Linked DNA regions of Caenorhabditis elegans. The protein of the gene in region 1 interacts with the protein of each later gene in a pairwise test. Each region holds a gene or a part of one and is shown on either strand. Other genes may lie near its edges.

The links.
Region 2: the proteins of set-1 (region 1) and lsy-2 interact in a two-hybrid assay, tested with the Caenorhabditis elegans proteins (one large-scale study listed by BioGRID).
Region 3: the proteins of set-1 (region 1) and mafr-1 interact in a two-hybrid assay, tested with the Caenorhabditis elegans proteins (one large-scale study listed by BioGRID).
Region 4: the proteins of set-1 (region 1) and unc-62 interact in a two-hybrid assay, tested with the Caenorhabditis elegans proteins (one large-scale study listed by BioGRID).

The regions. Positions count from the first base shown.
Region 1 is NC_003281.10:6,448,877-6,455,906, reverse strand, and holds set-1 (Histone-lysine N-methyltransferase set-1), read left to right. Parts: upstream 1-3,534; 5' UTR 3,535-3,550; coding exon 3,551-3,714; intron 3,715-3,847; coding exon 3,848-4,086; intron 4,087-4,132; exon of another isoform or gene 4,133-4,140; coding exon 4,141-4,328; intron 4,329-4,339; exon of another isoform or gene 4,340-4,416; coding exon 4,417-4,554; 3' UTR 4,555-5,115; downstream 5,116-7,030. Other genes in the region: jhdm-1 (JmjC domain-containing histone demethylation protein 1), read right to left, coding at 6-255, 304-880, 931-1,062, 1,111-1,424; T26A5.6 (UDENN domain-containing protein), read left to right, coding at 5,222-5,278, 5,613-5,810, 5,858-6,095, 6,173-6,328, 6,375-6,697, 6,754-7,030. UniProt on the Caenorhabditis elegans protein: Histone methyltransferase that specifically monomethylates 'Lys-20' of histone H4 (H4K20me1). H4K20me1 is enriched on hermaphrodite X chromosomes and during mitosis. Involved in dosage compensation by repression of X-linked gene expression in hermaphrodites.
Region 2 is NC_003284.9:2,086,694-2,095,679, forward strand, and holds lsy-2 (Zinc finger protein lsy-2), read left to right. Parts: upstream 1-3,010; 5' UTR 3,011-3,106; coding exon 3,107-3,133; intron 3,134-3,311; coding exon 3,312-3,452; intron 3,453-3,503; coding exon 3,504-3,609; intron 3,610-3,661; coding exon 3,662-3,818; intron 3,819-4,233; coding exon 4,234-4,317; intron 4,318-4,368; coding exon 4,369-4,464; intron 4,465-4,523; coding exon 4,524-4,700; intron 4,701-5,569; coding exon 5,570-5,678; intron 5,679-5,779; coding exon 5,780-5,875; intron 5,876-5,931; coding exon 5,932-6,036; 3' UTR 6,037-6,560; downstream 6,561-8,986. Other genes in the region: F49H12.2 (uncharacterized protein), read left to right, coding at 1-37; col-164 (Nematode cuticle collagen N-terminal domain-containing protein), read left to right, coding at 6,796-7,024, 7,077-7,792, 7,843-8,088. UniProt on the Caenorhabditis elegans protein: Involved in transcriptional regulation. Required to specify left-right asymmetry of the ASE gustatory neurons, probably acting upstream of microRNA lsy-6.
Region 3 is NC_003279.8:10,621,209-10,627,814, forward strand, and holds mafr-1 (Repressor of RNA polymerase III transcription MAF1), read left to right. Parts: upstream 1-1,964; 5' UTR 1,965-1,969; coding exon 1,970-2,052; intron 2,053-2,102; coding exon 2,103-2,442; intron 2,443-2,491; coding exon 2,492-2,613; intron 2,614-2,664; coding exon 2,665-2,857; 3' UTR 2,858-3,153; downstream 3,154-6,606. Other genes in the region: Laminin subunit alpha lam-3, read left to right, coding at 1-105; arch-1 (Protein archease-like), read left to right, coding at 3,263-3,439, 3,731-3,880, 3,926-4,066; B0511.6 (ATP-dependent RNA helicase), read left to right, coding at 4,187-4,498, 4,547-5,269, 5,773-6,075, 6,335-6,451, 6,571-6,606.
Region 4 is NC_003283.11:4,494,547-4,502,128, forward strand, and holds the start of unc-62 (Homeobox protein unc-62), read left to right. Parts: upstream 1-2,916; 5' UTR 2,917-2,920; coding exon 2,921-3,043; intron 3,044-4,783; exon of another isoform or gene 4,784-5,249; coding exon of another isoform or gene 5,250-5,261; intron 5,262-6,672; coding exon 6,673-6,854; intron 6,855-7,172; coding exon 7,173-7,323; intron 7,324-7,370; coding exon 7,371-7,478; intron 7,479-7,582. UniProt on the Caenorhabditis elegans protein: Acts redundantly with ceh-20 and ceh-40 to perform overlapping roles during embryogenesis.

The DNA.
Region 1 (7,030 bases):
TCTACCATCTTTTGTGGATTCCTCGTCTCCTTTAATCATATCGTTTGTCAATTCAACTCCAGTTTCGTAATCTGAGTATTCGATTTTCTTATGATGGCCACCAGCGGTTTTCCATTTGTCTCCAACATAGTCATATTTTGCATCTTCGATTCGAAGTGGTCTCACATATTCTCTTCCTGTCCATTGTTTTACATAATCAGCTATAACGTAGAAAATAAGTTCTTCATTGTACGGTAAGCGAAATTTTCTAGTGATCTGAAATGTTTCAAATTTGTTATTTACAAGTCTTCTGTAAAAACTCACATTCAACTTATTTTCAACTTGATAAACTCTTAATTGTGTTTTGCATGATTGTGAGTGAAGAAAATTGCCTCCAAAAACGAGACTATCATCTGGAGTATATACGGCATGAATCCATCCACTTGGAATTAGCATCGTGTCTCCTGGCTCCAAGATAGCCACGTGGCACTTTTCGACCGACTTTCCAAAGAACGCATTATCGTTGACAGTTTTAATAAATTCTTGATAAATAAAAAAGTTGGTTTCGGTTGGTGGAATCAACCAAAAGACTTTACGACCTTTCAGTACATGATACCACACAGATGTTCCACTAAAATCAATGTGAAAATCTGTATAACAGTTCGCTACGCTCATCAGGCAGTAGTTTTGAACTTTTGGAAAAGTATGATGCGGATTGTAGAATTTTTTGTCTCTTCCGTTGAATGAGATCCACCTCTGGCGCAGAGCATCTGGCCACTGGTTTCCAACCCAGTCGATTTGACGAACAAGTTCTGGAGATTTTACGAGATCTTCTAAGGGAGTTTGGGAAAATTCTAGAGATAGAACATTGTACAGTACTTCTCGTTTTTCTTGTGGCGTTCTGGAAAATGAAGTTTGATTGGTGTTTAATACTAATTTGTAATTACTCACTTGTAGAAGTTTATAAATTCCTGTAACGACATTTTCACACTTCCTTGATTCTGGACTTGAACAACTTCTATCATTCGATTTCCGCCTACCAGTTCGAGGACATCATCCACTGAGAAATCTGGTGAGGGAAGTCTGTAAAAATATTTATTTTTACAATTAATTGGAAAAATCAATACTCACGTCATTCCTATTCTTTTTGGATCACATCGGAAATGTATCGGGTTGTCAAGTCCATTTTTGTCGTAGAACTCCAAATTTAAAGCTTCTGGGTCCATTGTATGTACAAATTCGGGATGTTGGAAAGACGGATCATTCATCAGAGCTTCGAAATCAAAATTCACACATCGTTGAAGTGACGACTTATCGAATCCAGTAGTTTCTTCACCTTCTGAAGCACTATGTTCGTGCTCTGAACTTGACTCTTTCCTAGCCTTCTTTGCGCCCTTTTTACCGTTCGCTGGCGTTTTTCCATTTGATTTCCGTTTCGGCGGCATCTAAAATAATATATTTTATTAGAATCATAGGAAAATGGTTAGTTATGATACAAAACTGTCATAAAGTTGGCGTAACTACGGTAAATCAATTAAAGACTTGAACGCAGAGAACGGAGTTTTTCTCAGGACATTTTCAAGCGATTAATTAGATTAACTTTCGAGATTCTAATGGCTTTTAATAAAAGAAAATGTAAATTAAGTACCCAAAAAAAGTTTCGTGAACTGCTTGAATTAAAGGTACATGGAATTTTCGAAGGGTCTCAAACGGAACACAGTGATTTTAAAAAATCGATCGATTTGTCGGTTCTTATTTATTTAATTTTTTGGACTTTTTTCATCTTATTTTTGAAAACTGTTTCTAATTGTTTTGATTGAAGCGTTAATAAGACCGAGTAAGGAATTATCTTTAAATAAATTGACAAATTTTGAACATAATTTTCCGCACTACGATGAAAAAAGTTAAAATTTGATTATTTTTGCTTTTAAATGCTTCTTAAAAGCAATAAGAGAGAAATACACATTCAAAACATTAAAGCAAAAAGCGTGCAAAAATCGAAATAGAAACTATGGGCAAGGAACGGAAAAGGCGCAAGCTGGACCACTGGCGTGTTCGACGCAAGCCGTTTCTCTCTCTGCGACTCTCCTCACCCTCACCCCATAGTGCATTCCTGTTTGTTGTTTGATCGTATAACCAGCCTCCTTTCTTTTCACTCCCTGATTTCACTATTTCTTCCTCTTTTTTACTATTTATTCCATTAAAATACAATTCTGGGTTTTCAAGGTCAATATTTCTTCCTTATTCCTGATAATTCGTATCGATTTCCCCTGACATCCTTTCTGGCCTACAATTATGTGGCGTTGTGACGTAGACCGCTGAATTGACAAAACAGTCGAAAACGAACGGGTGGACGGCACCATTCTTTGTTTGCTGCTCAATCTTACAACGACTAAACTTTTTATCGATTTAGCGTTTTATCGACCGCAGCATAAATAGGAAGGGAATGGAATAGAATATACCGATCGTTTTCTAATTACCCATTCATAATCGATTAGCTGCCAGCATCAATAAACCAGCGGCTGCATCTTCTTATGTCATTCAGATTCTCGACACCGATTCGATGTTCTTTTTTTCAGCATATCTTCTTCGTCGGGCTCTCATGTAGTCGCATTGAAGAATGACAAACTGCATTTTTTATGCGATGACACTCTTGTGCACGATGTTGCCATCGATTTGTTGCTCTGTTTCTCATAGTTGTTTTTTTTCAATTCAGTCAAAATTAATAGATCAATAGGACATCTAAATTTAAAATTCCAGTTGGTATAATATTTAAAATATAAATAGAAACATTAGTCATGCGCATGGCGTCAAAATTTATCTAAATTTTAATCTTTGAGTATCTTTTCTGTTTAATTTTACGAGCCCAATAAGTGTATCTATTATTACGGAAATATACATTTTAAAGTTCAATTCCATAATTTCAATCCACCATTTTTTACACCAACCACCGACATCTACCGTGAGTGCAATAACGCTCCACGGCACTTCCCGCCAAAACCATATGACTGCACACCATTTGAATTTAGTCGCGTGTGCACGACATTGTTCTTTGTGCTCAGCTCTCGTCAAAAACCACTGAATTTGATTTCTAATGAGGTTATTCACGAAATGTGGATAAATATCTTAATGATGATGTTCTACTCGGTCTTTTGATATTTGGAAATTCAACGGAATCGGTGAAAGCCCACCCTTTTCACAATAGAAACCTTCACTTTCTAAAAAAAATATTCCTCCGAAAACCCATTCAATCTGCTTTACGCATCTCTCTGCCCGCTTCAATTTCCTCTGTTACCCTCTTCCCAACTACTTTTTCAGGTACATCCAAGATGGCTTTTCCATTTTCAATTACAGTATTCAGGACCGATGAAATCATATTGAATATCTGGGTTTTTGAAACAACACATTATAATATTTTTACCCAACCATTTCAAAACAAAAAAAATAAATTGTGGGCGAATATTTCTATTATTTCTATGACACCTCTTTTGCTTCTTTATAAATTTCTCTATTTTTACTATTCTCCTCACCCTACAAAATTTATTATTTTTTCAGCGGTGTCACTCGAAGGATGAAAGTTGCCGCGAAGAAGCTGGCAACGAGTAGAATGCGAAAGGATCGTGCCGCAGCAGCGTCACCATCTAGTGATATTGAGAACTCCGAAAATCCATCGTCTTTGGCTTCACACTCTTCATCTTCAGGAAGAATGACACCGTCGAAAAACACAAGGAGCAGGTATGATTGATTAGTGACAAGAGGGATTGTAATAGAACGTTTAAAAACTTCAATATTTCTAATTGAATTCACAACATATTCACAGAAATTGTCCAAGCTGAAAACTTCAATTTCCAAATAGTTTTTCTTTCAGAAAAGGAGTGTCGGTGAAAGATGTCTCAAACCATAAAATCACAGAATTCTTCCAAGTGCGGCGAAGTAATCGGAAGACGAGCAAGCAAATTAGCGATGAAGCTAAACATGCTCTTCGCGATACCGTACTCAAGGGGACTAATGAACGACTTCTTGAAGTGTACAAAGATGTTGTGAAGGGGCGAGGAATTCGAACGAAAGTTAACTTTGAAAAAGGAGACTTTGTTGTCGAATACAGAGGTATGTAGATAACACAGATAATTGTTGTAATATTGTTTTTAAAAAGTATTCTAGGTGTTATGATGGAGTACTCGGAAGCAAAAGTGATAGAAGAACAATATTCGAATGATGAGGAAATCGGATCCTACATGTACTTTTTTGAGCACAACAATAAAAAATGGTGTATCGATGCGACAAAAGAATCTCCATGGAAAGGACGACTCATCAATCATTCCGTGTTAAGGCCGAATCTCAAAACGAAAGTGAGCATTTCAAAATTTGAAATTTATTAAGAAAGTCTTTGATAAATTAAAAAAATGTAAATAACAATTCCAAAACTAAACATTCCAGGTGGTGGAAATCGATGGGTCGCATCACCTGATTCTCGTCGCCAGGCGTCAAATCGCACAAGGAGAAGAGCTTCTCTACGATTATGGAGATCGTTCAGCAGAGACGATTGCCAAGAATCCATGGCTTGTGAACACATAATATGTTGCTCCACAACATCTCTTCGATCTGCTCAATCCATTTCAAATGTTCATTTACCTTCACGAGTATACTACTGTAATTCCCTTCATTTTCTCATATTTTCCACGGCACTCGTGCCCAATCCTCTCATTACTTCGTCTCTTTCAACCGCCTTTTCTCATTCTCACAGCGAATCAAACCTGAAACAAATCTCAATAACGAGCCGTAATAACGTGCTCATTTATGATAATCTGGATCTCGTGAGTATCCAATTCTGTACCTTTCCTGTTGACTTTTGAAAAGTCCCTTGTTCTTTCCTTTCATTGAAACCTGAAAATCTCCTCACTTGTTCCACTACGAAATGCCTTTAATATCTTTAATTCTTCTGTAAATTTCTCGTTGATCGCCCATTTTTTCCTGAATTATTCATTTTTGTGGTGTACATGAGGTGCGAGTTGGAAACCTACTTTAATGACTGGTTAACGCTAAAATCGTTTCCATCCCTATCGGAAAACATTATCAGCGTGCAAATCTCAATTTTTCATTTTGAAAACAATTAAAATCCATAAATTTTGCTACATTAATCTTTTTTTACGAGTATATTCCGTTTTCCGGTATAGCAACCATAAGAATTTATCTGAAGATGGTAAAATTCGGGAAAACATTAGAGCTTACAGTTCAGAGAAAGATGCATCCAATTCTGAATGTGGTCGTCGTTAGTTTCCATCACAAGCGAGGATGTGAGGTAACAAAAATGGCAAACTATCAGAAAAATCAGGAAAATATGATACATAAAAGAATAAACTCGAAAACGTAACGATTAAGGTCATAAATGTGCAGGAAAGTAATAAAATGGCAATATAAACTACAAAATCGCGTATATTTTGCAGTTAATTTGAAATAAATGTTACAGTCAATCGAACATTTCACAAAAAGCAGAACGTTTTTGGTACTTTTTACTATTTTTGCAGTATTTTTCATATACATTTAATTATTAAGTTTTGTATTATATGGAGTGAAGATTTAAATTCAAGTTCATCAACTCAATTTGTAAAAAATCAATAAAATAAATCTTGTAGGTAGAATACTCGCACCCGAAACTCGATGGCACGGGCGAATCGGGATTACCCGATGAATGGCATCTTCTTCCATCACTGGCGTTGCCGGATGGTGTACATAATTGTCAAAAAGATACAATATTCTTTTTGCTTCCATCTAGAGAAGAACCTGGAAAATCGATATTTGGCATCTCGTGTTACAGACAAATCGATGCAAAAGTGAGATTTTATATGACTCTTCAGATAAAAACTGTTTGACTTTGCAGGAATTAATAAATAAATCGGAAGATGTGACTAGGACCAGTGTTCAAAAAGCTGTATGCGTTCTTTCAAGAATACCACTTTTTGGTCCATTAAAAGCAAAATTGGAAGTAATAACTCAGGCATATTTTGAACAAAAAGATTTTTCGAAAGTTGATGTTCTTGCTCAAATGTATACGAATCTTTGCGATATATTCGACGAAAATCTTACTGGAGAATACTTTTCAAATCTAGCTCATCATGGTACGTTATTGAATCAATTTACTAAAATAAAACATGAAAATAGTTTCAAATGTTCACATTTTAATTAGCGATATCAGTTTCAGAAATATCAATTCAAGAGCTTTTTATACGATTCCGTCACCGAGCTCTACTGCTTTTTAAATTATTCCTATTAGAGCGGAAAGTTTTATTCATTGCACCAACTGGATTACGATTAGGAGAAACTATGCTGGCTATTGTTTCAATGTTTCCAAGTAAGAATATACAGACATTTTAAAATCGTTTAATTTTGAATTTCAGAGCTTTTGGAAGAAGGTCTGTTCTACGCAACAATCGGGGTCAATACGAGTTGTCATTTCAAAAATGTAAATTCAAAAACTGAAGGAAAAAGCGAAGAAATAGTGATAGAAGAGGAGGTTGGTGTTCAGCTTTCACATGATGATCCATTGAAAGAAAAGGATTCGTGTGGATTTCCTATAAGCTTATTCACACAAGGATCATCATTTGATCCATATCTATCAATTCAATCAATGGATTTAGTCCCGAAGACTCAGAGTTGTATATTTGGAGCTACGAATGCCTTATTTGCGATGAAAAAGGATTTATTTGATGTTATTGTGAAGGTTTGTATTTTAAATTAACAATTTTCAGGTTTCTAACTAAACTTGAGTAATTTCAGATCGAAGACGACGGTTCTCTTGTCCATAATCACATTGAATTTGTCAACGACACAGCATTGGAACGAGTAGTTTCTCTAACTACTGCAGATCTTCGATTCGCTGATTTTATTCTCAAAAAAGTCGAAGAACAGGTTAAATCCTCAAATGCTGAATTCGATGGATCAGATGAATGGATTCGTTTACAAATGAAAAACTATCTTCTTGGCCTCGTTGCCACGTCACGTTCCGATCTACAAGCAGCGATACCTCATTTTGGAATCGCTTTTGTAAACGAAT
Region 2 (8,986 bases), on another chromosome or scaffold:
TTTTTTCTTAGTTTCTAGCAATCTGGTTGTTGAATAATTTACTGGTAATTTCTGAAAAATCGCATGACTTTATATTACGACATGTATAGTTTTCATAATGTAACTTGTAAAAGACTTGTTTTCTTCTTTATTGCTTATATTTTCCAAAATAATTTTTTTGCGTAATTTAAGTACTTGTATTTATAATTCTTTGCTAAAAAAATAAATATGTATTATGAAAAACTGCAGAACTGTGAAAATTTAGAAACTATAATTTTTCTGAGGAAATTTATACCTTGGAAATAATATTTCAAACAATGAAATGTATTCTGGCTTTCAAAGCAAACTAAAATGAATAAAAAAAATTATGTAAGCCTTGGAAATCTGAATAATATATTTGAAATATTTTAATATGAAAATTGTAAAAAAGTGTGCATAGATTAGTAACAGTTTTTTTCTGAACATTGCTTTAAAAAATTGATATTAAAGGCTATAAAAATTTAATGGAGAAGTACCGGTTTGGACGATTTTGAACATATAGACCCAAAATGTGCTTAAATAAACGAATTTTTTAATGAAACGACTCAAAATTGTTTCAAAAGTTTTTTATGGCGGTTCAAAATTTCCAAAAATACCTTAATCAACAAAACAACATAAGGTAAATTACCAAAATTTGCAAAAAAAATGACAATAATTAAAACAAATCTACTTTGAATCACTGCGGCACGGAAAAGTAAAAAAAAAGTTGGATAATTTTTTTCGAAATTTTGAACCGTCATATAAAATTTTGTAGATTAAAAAAAAATTTAATTACAAAATTCGATCATTTAAGCACATATTCAATTTATACGTTAAAAGGCGTCCAAACCGTTACTCATCCCTAACTATGTTTATCGAACCGACTTCCCTAGGTTGAGAGATTTAGTCTCATCGTTCCACACGCACCAGGTAACTGAAAATAACATGCACTTTTAGGAAGCTAGAGCCAGGATGTCTTAATCCTTTTCGTTTTCCCCATTTGTCTCGATCCAATATAACGAAGCGGTTAAGTTCTCAAAACTTCAAAAATCTGTCGAATGAAGCAAGTGTGAGCTGCTTTTTTTCAAATAAAAGTATTGCCCTACAAATGTTAGAGGGCTCAGAACGGAAACTAGCTGGCTGTTCAGCAGATGTTCGTCAAGATGGCACCCTTCATGGTAAAAGTATCTTTCACGTTTTTTTTTCTTCGCCGAGTATCTGAGTAGAGGGAGTTTCTCAACTTGTGCTCGTTTCTCTTAATCTAATTTCCCAGAACAACTTGGCGATTGTACTTCTTTTCTGAGACGTCGAACAAGTTTTCACACTCTTGTTAGAACACTTCACTTTGAAGGAATCTTACTATAAACTTTAGGTATCCTTAAAATTTTGATACTAATTGTAAAGACTAATTTTTCGAGTTTCTGGCTTAATATATTATTTTTGAAAAAAAAACGTTTTGTTTTATTTTAGTTCACCAAAACTCCCCTTCTCAAGATTTTTCAATTAGAATTGTGAAACTTATGAACATAAACTGAACAAGACACAAATTTCTCCTCAGGTTTAAAAAAACATTTGGAAAAAATTTGTTATTTTTGGTAAATTAATTTATATAACACTACTTATTGGTATTTTTATAAATAGTATAAATGCTGATAGGTTTCACAAAATGTCAATCTTTATTTGTTTTGTTGTGTTTGTTAACAAACTTGCTTTGTAGTCAATAAATTATCAATAAATATATAAATCTTATTAAATTTAATCTAAAGCTTTAAAATTCAAGAGATCTCTAACTTTTTAATTTTGTATTAAACTACTATTAACCGTTTTCACACTTTTTTTTCGAAATTAATATACACTTATTTTATTTATTTTTCAATTTCATTAACCCGAAAACATTTAATTTTATAATTCAGAATGATGAATTTACACCATCCGCAGCACCAGTCCAATTTCCATGAACAACACACGCCGTTTGCTGCTCCGATTCCAAATGGACACCACAACAACCACGTCTGCCTCCACAACAACAACAACAACAACAACTCCCAATATACTTGGAGTTACACGGTGAGCCAGCGTGGATGCGTGCGAGCAGCAGGCAAGATGCACATCTGCTCTTCGTCTGGGGCTTACGGCGTTGCACGAATATCGAATAGTGTTCATAGCGAATAGATGCGATTTTCTGAGTCCTGATCGATTTTCATTCAAATTTCCAATTTCAAATTTCAAGGTTTTATTTTTTCATTTAACTTTTTTCAATTTGCCAAAATCGTTGAAGTCTTTTGCTGGGTTTTGTTCAGTTCCAAAAGCAGCTGTGACAATATTATACATGTCTTTTATGTTAGGAAAAATATTATTGATCATGTATAATTTGATTGACTTTTACTATTCCAAGCACTAACTTCTATTTATAATTAAATCTTAATTTTACTTTCAATAAAACATTTCTGATGCAAATTATTTTTAAGACTTGCCATAGCCCAAAAATTAGCAACCAATTTCTCAATTCTCGGCCACCTGAGATTATGAAAACGCATCTGCTTATTTTTGCACCTGTTTTGTGTTTTCGACCAAACCATGACTAAAACTAAAATAATTTTTTTCATAAAATTGTATTTTATTTAGAAAAAAAAGACAATTTTAAAAATTCCGAAAAATTGCAATGAAAATGTTTTAATTTGCACTTTATAATTTTGAAAAAAAAATTGTAAAAAATGACGATTATTACGAAATAATATAAAAATACAGTTTAATTTTTTATATCTAATTTTCTAAACACTCGCAATACACAAAAAACTCATTATTTTCTAAATTCTACACTTGCTGAGTTATCAGAAACGATGTAAAAACCACGAACAGCAAGCGACGGTGGTGACCTCTGTCCTCTCGCTCACTATCCTTGTTGTTTGTTGCGCGCCTGCGTCTCGTTTTCTCGTTGCGCTGCGGCCGCGTCGCGTCCCCTCCGAGTGGTCGCATTTCTTACCGTATCGTTCTCATACCATAACCCTTTCTGCACTTGGCGGCAAGGTGAATAGTTTGAATTCGACGCTTCTTTCGCAATATCTAGCAGTCTCGAGCTGTTTTTAAGCTGTCTGAGGCAAATTTTGTCATGCTAACCAGAAGAAATGCTAAGCAGGTAACTAGATATCATTTCAAAAAAAATTTCTAAAATTTTTTGAAATCTCTTGAAACCCATGTTTTCATTTTTATTTCGCTTCTGTACTTTAACCTTTCCTTTTATAAACTCCTTTCAAATTTCAATTTATCGAATCTTTTATAAATTCCCTACTTTTTTAGACGTTCTCTACTTTCAGAGTCAACGGAATTCTGCGGATCAGTCCCTCTCTGAATTCAACAGTTCCAGTATGACTCACGGGTCGAATCAGTCAGTTTATCACCACAATCAACACATGGATGACTCCGAAATGATGATGGATGAGCAGGATTATTCTCAGGTACTCAAAAAAATTCTGAAACCATTTCAGGGGCATCATAATCAATTTCAGTATCAAATGGGGTTTCCTGAAGAAGATGAGATGGTGGAAGGAATGATGACCCCTCGAGCTGTGCACCAGTGTAATGTTTGCAACAAAATATTTGTTTCCTATAAAGGTAATTTTTTGAAAAATACGGTAGCTTTGTCTAACTCTGATTTTGTTTTCAGGTCTCCAGCAGCATGCAGTGATACACACAGATCAGAAGCCTTTCCGATGTGATATTTGTTCAAAATCATTTAGGTTTAAGTCGAACTTGTTTGAGCATCGTTCAGTCCATACCGGCTTCACTCCTCACGCCTGTCCATATTGTGGAAAAACTTGTCGGTTAGTGGTTTTTTTAAACAACATTCGCTGTGCTCTTTCAAATGTACAGTAATAAAAATGTGGCGGGTTGCGAAAACGACCGTTTCCCCTTAATTCTCATTCTCTCACAGTCGACTCTCCTCTGCTAATGCGCAGTACGGTGTGTACAGTGTACGGGCCGAGAAACGGTAGAGAAAAAGAGACGGACGAGAGACACCGTAATGCCATAGGCGACACTGTAGAACAATCGATAAAACGAAGAGAAATAGTGTTAGAATGGTGAAAAAGGCGTAGATAAGATGCATGCCGTACTCATTTCAAAACGGCACTCGTGACAGTAATCTAAATGTTGCGGGTAGAAAACACAAAAATATAATCAACAAAAATTATTTAGGCGATACGAGAAATAACAAACAAATTTTTTAAATTTTTTCAGACTGAAAGGCAACCTCAAGAAGCATCTTCGCACACACGTCACGACGAAGGAAGAGCTGGAAGCTGCCTGGAGGCCGTTTGCCAGGTTTGATCTTAACAAAAACGGAACGCCAGTATTGGCAAAATCTCGGTTCAGCAACCGTCGGCCGCCTGCTGACATCCCTGACGACGCCATCGTACTTCGTGGAGCCGGAGGACCGTACTACACGCCGCCGCCTCGTCCGAAGAAGAAGTAAGCAGACATCCAGCATGCACAATTAAAATGTGAGATTACCGAATGTTTTTTTTCAGGAAGCTTGGACTCGGAGAACCAGAGCACTGGGTGGACAAGTTGAGAAGAGGAGATCTTCTGCCACAAGTTGAGCTTGAGGACAAGATCAGACGTCTCGAAGACACTATCTTCAACAACATGTCTCTTGAGCGTTGGGGCAACCTTTTCGAGATTGCAAAGTCCATTGCATTCGAGACGTGAGTTTATTTATCCTTGAACTGAAAAGAAATCGGAGTGGAAAATGCCGTTTGAGCACATGAATTCTCAGAATTACGGTACATATTATATACATACCTGCTCTCCGTGCGTTTGAGAAAGATTTGACATCAATTCAAATTTTTTGCAACAGTTTCGCTACGAAATTTCGTCAAATTTTGATTGAATTATTATCTTAAAAGAGAGCGTACTTTATAATTTGTTTTAAAATGGCTGGAAGATTGTTGAAAGCATAGAAAGCATCAAAAAGTGAATGTAGGACTGAAAGTGAGTATAAGTATAATATCTGAAAAGCGCTCGGTGTGCGGCAAATTTGCCGAATTTGCCGAATTCATCGAATTCCGTAAATTTCAAAAATGTAGACTTGCCGAATCTGCCGAGCCCGGCAAATACTGAAATTTGCCGCACACATGAAACAATTTTTATAAAAATTTTGTACAAAACTAATGGTTTTGAACAGAAACCTAATGAAAGTAAACATAACATCGTGTTTCTTTTATTTTTTATTGAAGAAATCCACACGCGCATTAGGCAAAATTCGAACAAAAACCAGTAAACGTAGTTTATTTTTTAAATCAATTTTGGCCCTCTTTGAGCTCGAAAAATATTGCGATTTACTGAGTATGACAACCATGGCAAATTTGCCGAATTTGCCGCACACCCATGGTGCGATTCATTTCCTAATATATGCCTGGGTTTGTATACTTATTGAATTTTTTTGAACCAACTGAGTTGTAAGCTCCCAAAATCGAGCAGTGCATTACTAATAGAACTAATAGAACTATTATAATAGAAGAGAACACATTACACAGTTTAAATTAAAATTTTCATTAAACCTACCTAATTTCAGCCATGATTGTCCAGTGTGCAAGTCTCAATTCATGACCAGAATGGATTGTGTCAGCCATCACACACTCGAACACGAAAATCATCGGGAGGGTCTTGAATTTTTCTGCGAAGTGAGTTCTATAACGTTGTAATTTGAGTGGTTTTCTGTCTGTGGGATGATTGAAAATTTGTTATTATTGTTGGATTTACGATACAATATATATTTTTTCAGAAATGCTATAGACCATTTGCTGACGAGGCCAGCTACAATCAGCACATGAGCTACCACACGCGAGTTAGCAGTTTGATTGAAACTGGAGAAATTGTTGTACGTTTACAAAAGTTAATATTTGAACAAATAACTAAAGCTCACTTTTTTTTCAGCCTCAGCCAGCAGATCCGGAAATTTTGGTACCAACGAATGACGAGTTTCAAATGCTGTTTGGCGCAAACTTTGGCCAGCAGATGATGGAACCACAGTTGATTTGAAATTGATTATTATTATTGTTGCTTAGATAGAGTAATTCAGCTTGCGCACTTACCCATTTTTGACGCCTTCGATGACATTTCTTTCAACTTCTCTTATTCACCTTTTTCAAAACGGGGTACTTTTTTCTTCTTGTTTTTTTGGTTCTTTTCTTACCTCGGGGATTAGTATTTTTTGAAGATTTCCTACCCATTGACAGACAGACTTGCTCTTTCAATCATTTTTTTTTCCAAAATTGTAAGCATGCCGTTTATCATTGTTGGCATTGATCTACACCAGCGATATCTTGCTCCTTATTTCCATTTGTAATCCGTTGTTTTTTATTATTATAACCTAATGTATAACCTATTGAGGAGTTTGTATAGTCGTTGTAGTAGTCTTTGTTTGTTTTACCTTTTTTTCCCGTTGCCTGATTTCGTCTATTTTTATATATTCTTCTCTTTTGAGCCGATTGTATAGGTGTTCGATTAATATGAAGTGTCATAATTCAATTTATGGAGTGAATAATAAAATTTTGATACGTTTGAAACAAAATGGAATGAATAGCCTGGTATCCAGAATATGCAAATGCAAAAACTTGTTGAAGCGGTAGCAAGGATCAGATAATACAAATGAAAGTGGTTTGAAGTGAAGATTGGGAAGGAGTAGGACAACTTCCGGAACATACCGATCAGAGTTTTAGATAACACATGTTGTATATAAGACGGTAGTGGGGTACAACATTCATCAACCAAGTTTTTCTCCATTGTTTGTTTCGAGCAATGAGTTACAAAACTATGGAGTCGTCTTCGTCGACTGTCTCATTTGCAGTCATTCTTTCTGGAAGTGCTTTCTTGATTATGGTAACTGCTACTCCTGTCCTTTTCTATACTATGGGAGACATGACTGCTCAACTGGAAACTGCAAAAACTGGTTTTGAAGAGACTTCGAATGTGCTCTGGAAGGAGCTTGTTACGAATGAAAGCCACCGCAGAGTTGCAAGACAAACATGTAAGTGCAGATGTTAACGTTATCTGAAAATATTTGACAAATGAAAATTTAGACAAGGAAGGAGGAGCTGCTGGTGAGGGATCTCCTGCCGCTACAGCACCCGAAGCCAGCCCTGTGAAAATTGACGACTCTTGCCCAGCAGGACCAAAGGGTGAATCAGGATCAGCCGGAGAGCCAGGAACCGACGGAACCGATGGAACTCCAGGAAAAGATGGAGCTGATGGAAGCAATGAGCAGACTGCAAGCCAAGCTGGAGATCTTTGCACTGCTTGCCCAGCAGGACCACCAGGTGTTGCTGGATACAAAGGAAAACGTGGACCACGTGGTGAGAAGGGAGATAAAGGAGCTCCAGGAAACGCAGGCCGCGATGGTGCACCAGGAGATGATGGACCAGAAGGAGACCATGGGCATCCAGGACCAATGGGACCAGCAGGAGAGAAAGGAACCAGTGGAGCTGACGGAAAAGGATTTGCTAAAGGAGCACCAGGACCAAAAGGACCGACTGGAATGGATGGTCTTGCAGGAGACGAGGGTCTTCCAGGAGAGCGTGGAGAGGATGGTTCAGCTGGAGCACAGGGAGAGACTGGACCACAAGGACCACAAGGAGAGAAGGGACCAGATGGATTCCCAGGTCTTCCAGGATCCGCCGGAGCTTCTGGAGAAGATGCTGCCTATTGCCCATGCCCATCAAGAAAAGGAGACATCGCTGGAGGAGGAGGTGGCGGATACGCTGCAGCCCCAGGAACTGAATTTGAAGGATCCCCAGTTGTGAGTTTTACTGCAATTCTTGGATTTCAATAAAATAAAAGTACTTTCAGGAATCCGATCCAGCTAAGCTCTCTGCCGATATTCCAGCTCCATCGCCGATTTCCGATGTCTCTGCTGAAGGAGCGGGCGCCCCAGTTAGCGATGCTTCTGGCGAAGGGCCAGCTGATTCCGCAACTGAAGGAGAAGGTGCTCCAGCTGGAGGAGCTCCAAAGGGAGATACCACATATCCAACAAAGAACCGTGCCAGATTTACCGCCCGTCAACGTGCTGTTTCCCGCATTCGCAGAACTTTCTAATTGTCTCTTTCTGATTTTGGTTACAAACATCAAATGTTTCAAATAAATAATTCAGCATTTCAAATTGTTTATTTAATAAAAAAAACACAAATTTAAACTATATCAAATAATATGAACGGGCTCCATATTCAAACAAAGTTTTGGAATAAACAAATTAGATTTTTCTGATTTATCACAGATGTTGTTCGACCGAGCTTTTGTATTGGAATTGTAATCTTTTTTGGCATGTGAGCTTGGAACGTAATTACAAACTCCATTTCTATGCAAGGTTGTATTGGTTTTCAATGAGCATCTGCACAAAATAACGAGAACGGAGCATATAATTATTCTGAAATTATCAAAAATAAATTTACTCGAAATCATACTATTTTTTGGATGAACTAATACAAAGAACAACTTTTTCAAAAACTTTGATATCTATTTGCCATGTTACTAATGAAACACCTTGAAGTCAGAAATAGATGTATGCTTTGAAGCTAAATTTTATTTTAGAACGTCATAGTACCTAAAATCAATAGAGATCCGTAAGTGATTATTAAACATGGTGCTATGTTACATAAAAATAAAAATTCTGTGGTTACCATCAACTTACAATACTAATGTTAACAAAATGATGACTGTTACAGAAACGGTGTCCAGAATAAAGATTAAAACCTCTTGAGTGGTTTCGAAAATTTGATGAACATCGTTCATATCTATTTCAGACAATGCAACAGTTACTGAAATAGAATACGAAAAAAGAGTGACAATCAGAAAATGCTTGCGAATAACAAGGCACAGAGAGAGAAAACAACGTGCTCAGAAGCAATGGCTTATCAAATTTTGAAGCGCTGTGGGGCGGAATGGATTTTCTAGACGTGAATATCAATTTTAGAATTGAGAATTTTTCAAACCTCAT
Region 3 (6,606 bases), on another chromosome or scaffold:
TTCAATAACCTGGATGAACCATCAACTTCCAAGAATGTAATGCCATGCGCCAAAGCATGCAAACTTAAGAGATCATCAAAAAGAAAGCGTAATTCGAAAAATTAAATTTCTATATTTGTAACATTTTCTTCCTGAATTTGAATATGATTCTCAAAAAAGCCCCTTGTTGATTGCCAATTTTAATTTAATTTTTTTCTTCGAATAAACTATTTTAAATTTAAAAAAAAGTGAGTTTGCACATTTTTTGGAACCAGCTTTTGCTGAAAAAAAATGTGTCCCACGATTTTGAACGTCGCTCACTGTATCAATTTTCGAAATTCTTTTCTCTCTACATGAAACAATACTACGTCCATTTCAAGCTCTCAAAATCTAACAGCACAGTTTCAAATTCAAAAACACGAAATGATTGAGAAATAGAGATGCTCTTTTCAGATGGATTACTTTAATTCAATCTCTGCAGCTTTACTTAAACAACGCAGGTAGGAGGCAGATACTGTCGATCAGAGCGGAGCATTGAGCTTCACGTAGCCTGGCTGTCAAATTGTTTCAGTTGTCCATCCATGCACCATGTCTCCTCCGCCGTCGACACAGTAGGGTTTCCAGTCACTTCCAGCTACTTGTTCCAATCCACATCCTGACGTTAATTTCCAATCGATTCAGTTGTACTTCCTGAAATAAACACCAATATGACATTATTTGTAAATGTATTGAGGCAAGCCATCTACAAGCTTATGAGTTTAACAACAAACTTACAAAATAGCTCCCACTTTGGAGTTGTCTTCTTTTTCCTCTGTCTCCTCTATTTATCCTTTGAACGTTTCGTCTTGAGTAGTTTGTCCGGGGGGTTTTTGTGACATATGCCAGTATGAGTATCTGAAAAAAAAGGTTCATACTCTCAATACTCAAAAAGCTGTAAACTTTATGTTTTATAACATTTTAAAACATCAGATTTACACCTCTGACCCGCACTCACTTTAATATTCCGTTTGGTTGAAGTGAACTGGTTTCCAATTCACACACGACTGTAGGTAAATCGGCTCCATCGTCCGAGGTCCACTCGGAGGTTCCTTGCATACTCATATCTTCGTTCACAGCATCGGAATTGTTGAATTGGCATCATCTTCCCATCCTTCTTGGCAGACCATTTGTTGAAAAGTTGAAGACTGAACACTATGACTAAAACTACTTGCTCATATACCAGTCCTTATCAAGATGTACGTGGTCGTTCAAATAAAAATATTTTTTTAAATTGTTTTCCGTATACCGTATATCCTCTATTAGTAAGACGTGCAAAACTAATTTTCGGACACCTAATTTGATGCAAAACTAATAGAGGGTGCAAAACTAATTTTCAAACAGGTTTTTTCTCATGTTTCCCATTAAGTTATAGCAAATATCATCAATTTCAGTAACACCTTATGAACCAAAATGGACTAATTAATTCCACTAAATTCTTGTATTGAATATAAAACTTGTGAATCTCATTGCCTTTTGAAAATTTGATTTGAAACTTGTTAATTTTTTAATCTAAATATTCCTGATTCTGTCATAAATGGTCGTGTTATTTCGTTCTCTAGACCCCTGTGACATCAATTATTTGAAAATCTAGTTTTGACTATAGTTTTTAATTGCAAAACGACTTTCGAAGCGAAATTTAACAAATTTCATTTTACCCCCAAGGTATACGGTAGACAAGTACGCAAACACCAACAACAATATTGCACACATTACACAGAAGTTGCCGACAGTTTGCTAAATCAATGGGATTTTTTTACAGCAGTTTTTCCTTTCTTCACGATAAATCGTTCTGAAAAAGTAATTAAAATTGTTATTTTAGTGTAAAATTTAAAAATTAAATTATTGTTTTCAAAATGCGCGATTTTAAATATTGCAATCTTCATTACGTAGGATTTTTCCGCACTTGAATTCTCCAAATGTTCTCGAAATTTATTGAAAAGCTTTAGAAGCCATGAAGTTTCTGGAAAGCTCCGAAATGGATGTTTTTTCGCAGACACTCGTTACGGGAGCAATCGATTGTGTTATTGATTTCAAGTGAGTCATTTATCTCAATATTAAGAATAAAACAAATCGTTCAATTTCAGATTAGAAACGTATTCGTCGAAAATGGTTACTAGCGAAAAGAAACAATGGAAATCGAACGATAAATCTGTGATATGGGGTGAACGCCAGCCTCTAGGATCTTACGAGGAAATGGTGATGAGTGCATCGCCCAGTGTTGGTCACAATCATCGGCTTCGCCATTTATCGGAACGCTCGTGCTCAGGAGGATCAGACAACGATTTCGACGTGAATGACTACCTGATAAAAGACTCAATTTCGCGAAAGAAATTGTATGATCTGACTCAAGTTCTGAACTGTTCGTTTCCGGATCACGATTTCAGTAATGCCAACAGTGAAGCGTTTGCTCTCGTCAATTATTCGGTTAGTAGCTTCTTACAGCTAAATAACATTAACGCGCATGATTTTTCAGGACCTGAGCCGTCTCGTTGATATGAAGCTTGAGACAATTGTCAGAGACTATCACGTGAGAAGAGAAGAGCTATGGGGAATTATTGATGAGGCAATTGTGCCCGGTGACTGTCAAATATACAGGTATTCCGTTTGATTTGAGAGGATATTTTATATAATTTCCATATTTTTCAGCTTCAAGTCCCAATTCGAAGACGATCCGTTTACCGAAGACGGTTGCATTTGGGCACTTGCCTTCATTTTCTACAACAAAGGACTCAAACGTTTTGTTCTTCTCACAATTCGTTGCCTATCGAAACAAGCCGACACGTCCATCGAAATTTTCCCCGATTTCAGTGAAGACGAGGCGGAACCACAAGAGAAATAGAGTGCAGATTATTCATGTAGAACGCTTAGAATAGACTAATATTCAAGGCGATATAGTATTAGTCTTGCCGGCCAAGCCTCTTTCCCTCTTGTAGTTCTTCTCTTGTAAATAGATTCCATTTCTCATCAATCCTCAACCTCCTCCTTCACCTCTCGAGTTCGCATTTAATTTGCCACTTCCCACACACCTACCGCTAGATTAAAGGAACAAATACTTCGATTCTCATTCCTTTTCGTGGCTCGTAGATATCAATTTTCACAAAAACCGCATCATAAATACATAAAATTGTTTTTTTTAAGTTAATCAAAATCGATTATTTTTTGGTTTCAACCGTTCTGATATTTTAATCAATTTTTCCTCAAATTTATTTGGTTAAGTTCAGTTTAATTTATTTTCAGTGAAATAATGCCGAGCACATCAATGATCGAAGATCGTTCTGAGATCGAACGTCGGCGATTCGAATATCTCGATCATCCGGCAGATATTCAACTTCACTCTTGGGGATCCACAATGGAAGAAGCCTTCGAAGCATGCCTCGTATCAATGTTCGGCTATATGACGGATTTGGCCAAGGTTGATGAGGTAATTTGAAATTGAATTAGATCGCCTCTTGCGCCTTTTAAGAATTTTTCCACTTTCCTCTGTTTTGTCTAATTTTTCTTACTTCACTTGAAATATGCTTATGAACATATGAAATTGCAATTTAAATCGATATCTTGTAGAAATTTTAGCTTTTGTTCGTGTATTCTCTAGTTTTGAAGCTGCTCCCAGAAAAAAGCTCAATTTTTGCCTTCTTGACTTCATTTTCGAACAAAACCCACAATTTCTACAAGAAACTGATTAAAATAAAATTTTAATTTTGCATTATTTCAGATGTACGAATTCTACTGGAAAGCTTCTGGCGATAGCTTAGATGGTCTCCTATTTCAGTTTCTAGACGAAGCGCTCAACTCATTCCACGCTGAACCATGCTTTGTCGCGAAACGGGTTGAAATATTGCGATTTGATAAGAAAAAGTTTGAGGTATTTGATAAAAAGTTTCTGAAAATTAATCTAAATTCTATTCAGATCGAATTCCGAGGATGGGGAGAATCATTTGATACTTCAAAGCATGAAACAGAGGCTGATATCAAGTCTCCAACTTATTCAAACATGCAAATCAACGAGAAGCCGGAGAGATGCGATATCTATGTCATTGTTGACATTTGATTTTTATTTTACAACTTCTTTTTCACCTTTTCTCGCTTAATTCCTTTGTGATTTGCTTCCGATTATCGTGTCTTTTCCCTTCTGGTTGCTCATAAAATTTGTTAATTTTGCAGGTAAAAAATGGGCATTGACGTCAAGAAGAAGGTGCTCAAGCGAAAGCTGAAACAGATGAAGGATGGACATGAGAAGAAAAAGGCTAAGGAGGTTGTAGTTGAAGAACCAATGGAGGAAGAAGATGAGGAGGAAGTGGAAGAGGAGCAAAAGCATCAAACGGAGGAGTCAAGTGAAACCAAAGTGTCTGAGTTCTTGACGAAGACTACATTTGCATCGCTTGAAGGAAAAGTTAACGCGAATTTGCTGAAAGCCGTACAAGGATTGGGATTCACTACAATGACAGAAATTCAGGCAAAGAGTATTGATCCGTTGTTGGAGGTAGACTTTATAACTTTTTTCTTTTTTTAATAAGTTTCAATTTCTCAGGGAAAAGACGTATTGGCATCAGCAAAAACTGGTTCTGGAAAGACGCTTGCCTTCCTGCTCCCTGCTATCGAACTTCTTCACAAACTCAACTGGAAACAACACAATGGAACTGGTGTCATCATTGTGTCTCCAACTCGTGAATTGTCGATGCAAACTTATGGAGTTTTGTCCGAACTTCTTGAAGGATCCAATTTGACGTATGGATTAGTGATGGGTGGTTCGAATAGAAGTGCAGAGAAGGATAAGCTTGCGAAGGGAGTTTCGATTTTGGTGGCCACTCCTGGACGACTTTTGGATCATCTTCAGAATACTGACAACTTTTTAGTCCGCAACATGAAGTGTTTGATTATTGATGAAGCTGATAGAATTTTGGATATCGGATTCGAGATAGAAATGCAACAAGTTCTCCGTCATCTTCCAAAACAACGGCAGTCAATGCTCTTCTCGGCAACTCACTCTCCAAAAGTTGATGAGCTCGTGAAATTGGCTCTTCACTCGAATCCAGTTCGCGTTTCTGTACACGAAAAGGCCGAAGAGGCAACAGTTGAAGGATTACAGCAGGGTTATATTGTTGCTCCATCTGATAAGCGTCTACTTCTTTTGTTCACATTCTTGAAGAAGAACAAGACGAAAAAAGTGATGGTATTCTTCTCATCGTGCAATTCAGTCAAATTCCATCATGAGCTTCTCAACTACATTGACATTCCGTGCATGTCTATTCATGTAAGGATTTTAAACGATTATTTTATGAACACTTTTATCAAAGATCGCAAAATGAATCTTTTGAGACGGCTTCACATATCCTTAAAATTGTTAATGGCGGTTCGAAATTTCAAAAATAAAGCCTATTTTAGCTAAAATCTGAAATTCCGACAACTTGACAAAGTCACAACTCGCGGAAATGTTTTTTATTTAATTGTCACAGTTTAGTGCATAATTTGGTAATTTATTGCACGTTGTTTCGTTCATTGGAGTAATTTTTAGTCGATGGGGGCAAACAAAGACCGGAAATGAACGAAAAACGAGTAATATACTATCAAAGTTGGCAATAAAGGGTGATAATTGAATAAAAACAGGTGCTGTGGAGAAATTGAGATTTTTGCTTAAAATGATTTTTTTAAACAGAAATTTTGAACCGCTATAAAAAGTTTAATGGAGATTTGAAGACGTCTAATAGAGAAATATCTTAAATTTCCCTCAACTAGTAATATAATTAATTTTTGCAGGGAAAACAAAAGCAACAGAAAAGAACAACGACATTCTTCCAATTCTGTCAAGCTGAAACAGGCATCCTTTTGTGTACAGACGTGGCAGCTCGTGGACTCGACATTCCAGCAGTTGATTGGATTGTACAATATGATCCAACTGATGAGCCAAGAGAATATATTCATCGTGTCGGACGTACAGCACGTGGAACAAATGGAAGTGGAAAGGCTCTTCTCGTTTTGAGACCTGAAGAACTTGGATTCTTGCGTTATTTGAAGGCCGCTAAAGTCACGTTGAACGAATTCGAATTCTCATGGAGCAAGGTATGCACTTTCAATAGGCGACGTGTTCTTTGAATCAAAAGTTTTTTTTTAATAAAAAACCGGTAAATGATCCTTTGATAAGAAGGTCACACACCCAAGTGCAAGTGAAATAAGATCCAAAGATTAAAACTTTAGGTATACAGGAAGTGAATGAAATCATTAAAAAGCAGAATTCAAAGATGAATGATCAATAAAAAATTTATTTCCGGAAGTGAATTTGCAAAATTTGAAAATAACACTTGAACTTCTCAATTTTCAGGTTGCAAACATTCAATCCCAACTCGAGAATCTCATCAGCAAAAACTACTACCTGAACAAATCAGCGAAGGAGGCATACAAGTGCTACTTGAGAGCGTATGATTCTCATTCATTGAAGGTAATTCACAAAGTGCAAATGATGACATATGAGACTAATTGTCATGGAGTTTCAAGATGTCCGGCTACGAAATACTTGAAAGTATACACACTTCCTACGTAAAATCCCTTTTTTTGCAGGACATCTTCGATGTGACCAACATGGACTTGACTGCA
Region 4 (7,582 bases), on another chromosome or scaffold:
TTATTTATTGATTTCTTCAATATGAGCCGAGGTATAACCTTTCAAAGTTGACTAGTCGGTTGCATCTAGCCTCTGGATATTGTCCAGCTCTGTTTCAATTTTTAAGCGCTATGCGCTGCGGATCGGGGAGTCAGGTACCCCTACTGGGCTTTAGTTTAAGCCGTCGGATCCCAGGACTGTGGCCGATAATCTAGATAGCTCCACTTCCCAGTGAGCCTAGGGCAGGACTCGAACCCGTGATCTTTTGATTGCTAGCGATCACCATTACTCGCCGTAATTTGCCTTAAAATCTTTAAGCTTAACATAATTGTTTCTTAAATAGTTTTTGTATTGGTCGGCTTCATTCCGAATCACTGCTCTCTGTCGGTTCCCCGATCCCCCCTAAGGCTTAGAGGCCAGTCTAGTCACTTTTTGCTCCAGCCGGCTTGACCTAAAAATCATACACACATAAAATGGGCCGGCCTCCTCTTAAAATTGACAGATACATCTCATAAACCAATTAAGCGGCGTCTCGTTTACAACTTGACATAATGAGGTAAAATAGGGGGCGGTGCACCTGGCTGGGGGGCACACCAACAACGATTCAATCGAAATCTTTTTTTTTGTTGTGTTTCGTTAGCATTTTTGCCCCGGTGCCCACTCCTCCTCCAATTTTTTCGACGGGTTTCTATAGACCCCATCAATCATTTGTATGACTTGTCCGGTGCAAGTCCACGCAATTCTCCTTCCTTTTTTTGCCTCCGTCCCTCACTACCACCACCACCACCACCACCGACGACGAAACGTATCGATTTAAAAGGAGAGGGAAAAAGAGCGTGCGCGCGGGCCGCCCGTTTTTCAAATTTTGTTTCGTGTCCCCCCCCCCCCCCCCACCAACACCGGGCCGGCTGGTCGGTGGTTGTGATGGTGGTGGACACACGGGTTACTGTAGTAGGCATACACATCCCCTGGTACGGTATTTGGGGAGCCAGGCGAGAGAATCGAAATAGAAGCGAAGAGCAGGGGAGCAAGAGCATCGATTGCGATACGATGCGTGGAAGAAAAAACCACTGATAACTTTTTTTTTCGAATAATGTTCGGCGCACGTAGCAAAGAGCACACCGTAAGCTTATCAGTTTATACGTCAGCCTCGTTGAGCAAAGATCTGCCTAGGTTTTTGAGTATGACTATGGAGAAGAAAAAGTAGATCAGATTGGGAAACAAAATGGCAAAACTATGTACAAATGAATCAAATTTTGTTAGCCTCTAAATTAGCTTTTTTTTATTCACTCTATTTTAGAGACTTATATCTAAGTTGTCCTTAGTCTTATTAAAAAATGTTTTACTGTAAAAATGTAGAAAAATATTTGCACAAATTTTGTCAGTTGAAAATTTTTTTTACAAGCCCTAATGGGATCGAGTTATAAGCCGTCAAAGTGGAGCAAAAAGAGGCAAGGCGGATAGAGCAGTAGCTCTTTTGCATAGAAACAGTAGCTATATTGAAAATGGAAAGCTTGTAAAAAATTGGTTTAAAAATTTGTTAGCCTCATAATTTTGGCCTTTAATTTAGGCCTTTGATTAATCTTTTGAGCTGAGCCTATTACTCTAGAATTTTTGAAACAACTCAATTCTGTCAATTCAAGCAACAAAAGCACCACACGCTACCTTCCAGGAAATCTGAAATCTATAGGTTAATCTTCTTCCCGTGTCTACCATGTTACCAAACAAAGAAAAACAGTCTGAAACTTTATCCCACTTGACACCTCCTACCCCTCCTCTTCCATATGATCCTAATCTTAATCCCCTTAGAACAAAAGGCGACGTTAATAAAGTGCAGCTGGAGTATAAGTAGATGAGGGAAACGGGGGATGTGGTGCATTGAAGGGAAAAAATGTTGAAACTTTTGTATTTTAATGTTAGCATCTCTATGTCTCTACTCTCTGATTATTGATAAGGAAAATGTGTCAAAAAATGACTGTGCTCTCTGGAAGAGGCGAAAGGTTGCGATATTTTATTACATTCATAGGTGCACATTTAGTTGACAATCTGGAAAGTGTAGTTTCAGAAGGATCTTGTTTAATTAATTAATTTTTTGTGGAAACTTGGAAATAGCTGACTAGGTTTGGTAGAGCTTTTTTGATTCCTGATAATGAATTTGAAAAATTAGGACATTGTCCGCAATTTCCTTAGTAGGCTTGCACCCGTCTTGCTCCACTTTAACAGCTTCTATCTCAGCTCTCTTTGATTTTATCAGAAAAATTTTAACTGACAAAATATGCGCAAAATGTTTTTCTATATTTTACCAGTTAAACATTTTTTGATCCAATCAAAAGCAACAGAGATATAGGCCGTCAAAATAGTTTCTCACATTTTCGGTGGAGCAAATTTCTTTCAGAAACCGAACTCACTTTTAGATTTTTTTTTAATTTCCAAACTAGTCACATTTCCTCAGCTCATGCTCATTCACATGACAAAAAACTTCCGGTGAAACTGGCGGTATAATGAAACTTTTTTTTCAGTCTCATACCGTACATTACATAAACCTTATCAAATAAAAAGAAACTAGTTCCAATCTTCATTCTTTCCACTTTATTTTTCCTTAGCACTTACATTTTTTTTGTTCGAATTTCAAAAATATAATGAGAACAGCTTTGTGCACCTAGTGGGGGCAAAAACGAACAAAAGCAATTTATCTTCAATGCGGAGGACATTGGACACAGGACAGCAGCATGTAAACTTGAATTTGCCCTCCTGGTTCATCTCTTGCGGAGCCTATTTATTATTTTTTTTTTCGAATCCATCCCTTTTTTTTTGGTGTGCTTTTTGTGCTTTCGGGCCACGAGGACCCATCTGCTGTTGCTCACGCACAGACTCTTTTGATAAATGATAATGAGTTTCACGTTTTCTTTTTCAAAATTTAATATTTCTCTCTTGCAGGAACATGAGCGGCGACTCAAAAGTGTGGGCTCACGCGTCCGCTGACACTTGGGCTGTTCAAAATGGAATTTCGACGTACGATTTGGACACGTCGAGCATCAAACGAGAGAAGCGGGATCACAATGAGGTAAAATTTAAGAATTGGTTGTTGTTTTAATTTGCGACTAAATTTCCTAATTAAATTGATTTCTGAAAATTGAAAAAATTTTTGCCGATTAAAAAATTCTTTAGGATCTTCACATTGTAGTTTAAGAAATTCAAAAATCAATTTTTAGAATTAAAAATAATTTTATAAATCGAGCTTTGAAGGGTTTTGTATTGTCTGAAACTTCAAAACTTTTGGAATTTCGGAAAAAAAAATGAAAAAAATGTTCAAAATGAACTGTAATTTTTCAGTTCTGTTACGATAAAATGCTTTCAGAAAATTGATAAAATCTATAAAATCAAAATTGTAAAAATTTTAGAGTTTCGAAATTGGTTTTTCATTGAAATATAAATTTCAAGAAACCGGGAAAAAATATTGTAATATTTCGCAAAAATTTGAAACATCACATTAAAGGCACACATTGTTTTTTTTTCTGAGTTGGTCTCGCCACAGGAGCTAAATTCAACAGATTTTTTTTCATTTGACATAGGAAAACAAATTTCAAATTCGGAAATCCACTAAAAATTCAGAATTTATTATGAAAAAAGTATATTAAAGGTGGAATAGCGCCAGTGGGAATTTTGTCTAAATACACTTATAATGATCCAAAACGACCGAATATTATAATAAAACACCCCACAAAATTTTAGCTTTTTCATAATTTCCGTTCAAACTTTTGCCAAATTGCCAAATTTTTGAAAAATATGAGCTTTCGAGGAAATCCAAAGCAATGTCGCATGTTTCGCCCCCTACAATGTTTCAACACGAATAATTAAAATAAGCTTAAAGTGTAAAAAATGTAGGAAAAAACTTTTTTTGGTCGACTTCCAAAATTATGAGTAACAAAAACTGAGTAATTGTCACTTTTTGACCGCAAATAAAAAAATTTAAGAAAATTTTTGATTGTTTTGATGTTTTTGTTTGATGTGTTTGTTTGATGATGTTTTATTACGATATTCGGTCATTTTGGGACCATAGGAGTGGTTTTTAACAATTTCCCCATTGGCGCTACTCCACCTTCAACAACTACCATAAAAATCTAAGAACATATTTTTTGGGTTTACAACCTACCAGTTAAAGTTCATAGAGCTAGTTCCACACATCCACGATATAATATGCAATTTAACAGCCGATGATCCGATTATCAATATCAACAGCATAAAAGCAATAACAAAATCCTGATAATTTTCACACAAATTGTCCGCCGCTTTTATCTTTTCTCTCCTCATTCTTCTTCGTCTCATCATCGCTCCCCCCCCCCCCCCCCCCCCCCCCACCGACCGATTTATCTCTTTTAATCACATTAATCATGTGTTTCTTATCGAGGGTGGAAAATTGGAAAATTGATAGGCGACATGGAATTTGGCTGCCAAGAATCGGGTACTACTTGGTAGAAAATGTAAATTTGTGTTAGCTGGAAAACCTGAGGTCCCCCACACTTGACTTTTTGCCTCGTCTCGCTAAAACAAAAAAAAGAGGAAAATGCAATGCATGTATTTTTTCGTCGTCGTCGTCGTCGTCGTTTTCTTCGTGTTTGACTTCTTCTACTCCTCTCCAAATTTGCCTTCTCACCCTCCTCTCACACCCGGGGTCTACTGTACCGAATTGAGTGCCTATTGGCGCAATAGGGCGGGGCCCCGGCGCATCGCTCTCTCTCTCACTCACTCCTTCTCTCGAGGGGGGCTAACAGGGGAAAATAGACTGAGAGAGAGAGGAGAAGGCAAGCGAGTCGATCTGCCCCCCGGTTGCCCGTTTCTCTCTCTTTCGGTGGTTTCTCGTATTTTTCCCCCACCAGGGAGAGTCAGAGAGAGGGAGCCCCGCCCACATTCACCCCACCAACCCTCCCCCCAACGATCGGACAAGATTGACATACAACCGTTTTGAAGTGTGTGAGAAGTTGTCATTTTCGATATTCATCTGTCTGTCATATTATTTACGTTCGTTCCATCATCATCGACATCACACGCAGGGCAGAGAAGAACACACGCCGCCACCGCCGGCCCATCAAATCGGCACACTAATCAATCGATCAACGAGAGAAGAAGAAGAAGGGGCGGGCGACAAGCTCTGACCATCATCGTGTGTGTGACAGACTGACTGACTGACACCCCGTTGTGGAAAGAGTTTTCGATCCCGACACGACCATCGTTCATCTTATTCAGCAAGGCCCCGTGTGTCGGCAACGACGATGGCGCAGAGGGTACTTCTTCTTCTTCTTCTCCTTCATTCCGTTTCCCCTCTGCTTCTTCTGACTTTGACATGATACCAGAAAGAGCGCCATCCCTTTTTCCTTTTCTCCTCTATAATTTATCGTTGTGTTGGGTGGTGGCTCGAGCTCATTCTTGGGTTTCCAATCAGCCATTGCGCCCCCCACCGCGCCGTCGCTGTCGCTTTTTTCCCGCTTTCTAGATCTCAAAATTGCAATTTTTAGGTGTTCGCCTTGTTTTAAGCGCTGGTTAGTTACAATATAGTTTCCCAAGCTTCAGAATATAGAAAAACTTGACCCCAAATACCTCGAAAAGTCGTATCTCTGCTCATCTCTAGAAAATCAGTGAATATAATACTTTAAAACTATAGTTCTAGAAAAAACAAATATTTTGTCAGCTTAGAACTTTTTGTTTTAACTGAAAATTACAATGAGCTGCCAAATTGAAGCTACGGTCTGCAAGACTAACAGTTGCACCCCATCGTCCAACTTTGACAGCTTATATCTCAGTTTTCGTTCATCCTATATAAAAATTGTCAACTGGCAAAATCCGTATTATTTCTTTTTCTATAATTTTGTAGTTGACTATTTATTTATATCTTCTAATTGAACCGTGATATAACTTTTCAAAGTGAGGTAGTGAGGTGGAATACTATCGACTTTTGCAAATCGTTAAAATAACACCAGTGAATATTTCAAAATATAAGTACTTATATTAAGCCCCTCATTCTTAAATTTTTCCTTGCATCGATTAGTTTTAGTTTTAGTTTCCGAAGCCAACACAAGAATCACAAATAGTTTTACGATCTTACCGACAGTATCACTTTTTCTCGGGAATCATTTGAAAAAAGATAAGAAAATGTCCCAAATTCCACCCCTTTTCCCCGTCTTCCCCGCTGACTAATAAAACCCATTAAAATGATTTTGATGAGCTTGGGCTACTGCTTAGAAAAAATGCCTATGACCACCACCACCAATGGTTCCAAAAAGTGTCAAAAAATTGGCCTCTTTAGTTATCAATACAATTTATCAATTAATCAATTTGAGAGACAAGACACAGAAAAAAGAAAAAAGAAAAAAAAATAGGAAAGCGTGGTTTCAATTTCTCACTTTATCCTTCCACCGTTATCCCCGTTCACATCTTCTTTTACCCGAATCGGGGGGCCGAGAAGATTTATTTCGTCAAAAAATCCGCCTATCATCTTGCCGAAATCTGGAACGGCGCCCCTTTGTACCGAAATTTCGAAAAAAAAAAGATTTTGGAGGAAAACTAAAATTATTGATTTTTTTTTTGCAAAATTTTTGCTAGCCATGTCAGAAGAAGAGATAAGATTTTACCCATAAATCCCTCACATATTTAGGCGCCTTTTAATAAAATTATCTAATCTTATCCATATTTTTTCAGCAGTTCAACGATGGATATGGTCCACCACCGGGCTCGGCGAGCGCCGACCCAGCCAGTTATATTGCCGATCCGGCGGCGTTTTACAATTTGTACACGAATATGGGTGGCGCGCCGACGTCAACTCCGATGATGCACCATGAGATGGGTGAAGCCATGAAACGGGATAAGGAGTCTATTTATGCGTGAGTTTTTTTTGAATTTTAATTTTATAAAGTCTGCCTACAAGGCCTGCCTTGTGCCTGTTTTTTTTTCAAAATTAAACATTCAACAAGTCATCAAAAATTTGTGAAAAAAATTCAAAAGTAGGCGGTAGGCAGGCAAAACATAGGTCCTCATGTTTGGAGACGTGCCTGAGAAGCTGAAGCTAAAAAATTTTGACGTAAAAAAAATTAAAAAATTTCAAAATTTTCTGCTTCTAAATTTCGTTAAAATTATTACATTTTCAAAATACTTTCAAATCGCTAAAAAAAATTGATTTTTAACAATTTTCAAATTTTCAGCCATCCACTCTATCCACTTCTAGTTCTCCTATTCGAAAAATGCGAGCTCGCCACGTCAACGCCCCGAGACACGTCACGCGACGGATCCACGTCATCGGACGTGTGCTCCAGCGCGTCTTTCAAAGATGATCTCAACGAATTTGTAAGACATGTAAGTTTCGGGGAAATAATAAAATGAAAAAAAAGAAAGTTTTACAGACCCAAGAGAATGCTGACAAGCAGTACTATGTACCGAATCCACAACTAGATCAAATTATGCTCCAATCGATTCAGATGCTTCGATTCCATCTGTTGGAGCTTGAAAAGGTGAGCATGAAAATTGAAATGAAATTCAACAAAAAAAACGTAATGCAAAAAAATAATCGTCTGCGTCTCGTACTTTATTTATTTTTTAGACAAAAAGTTGAGAC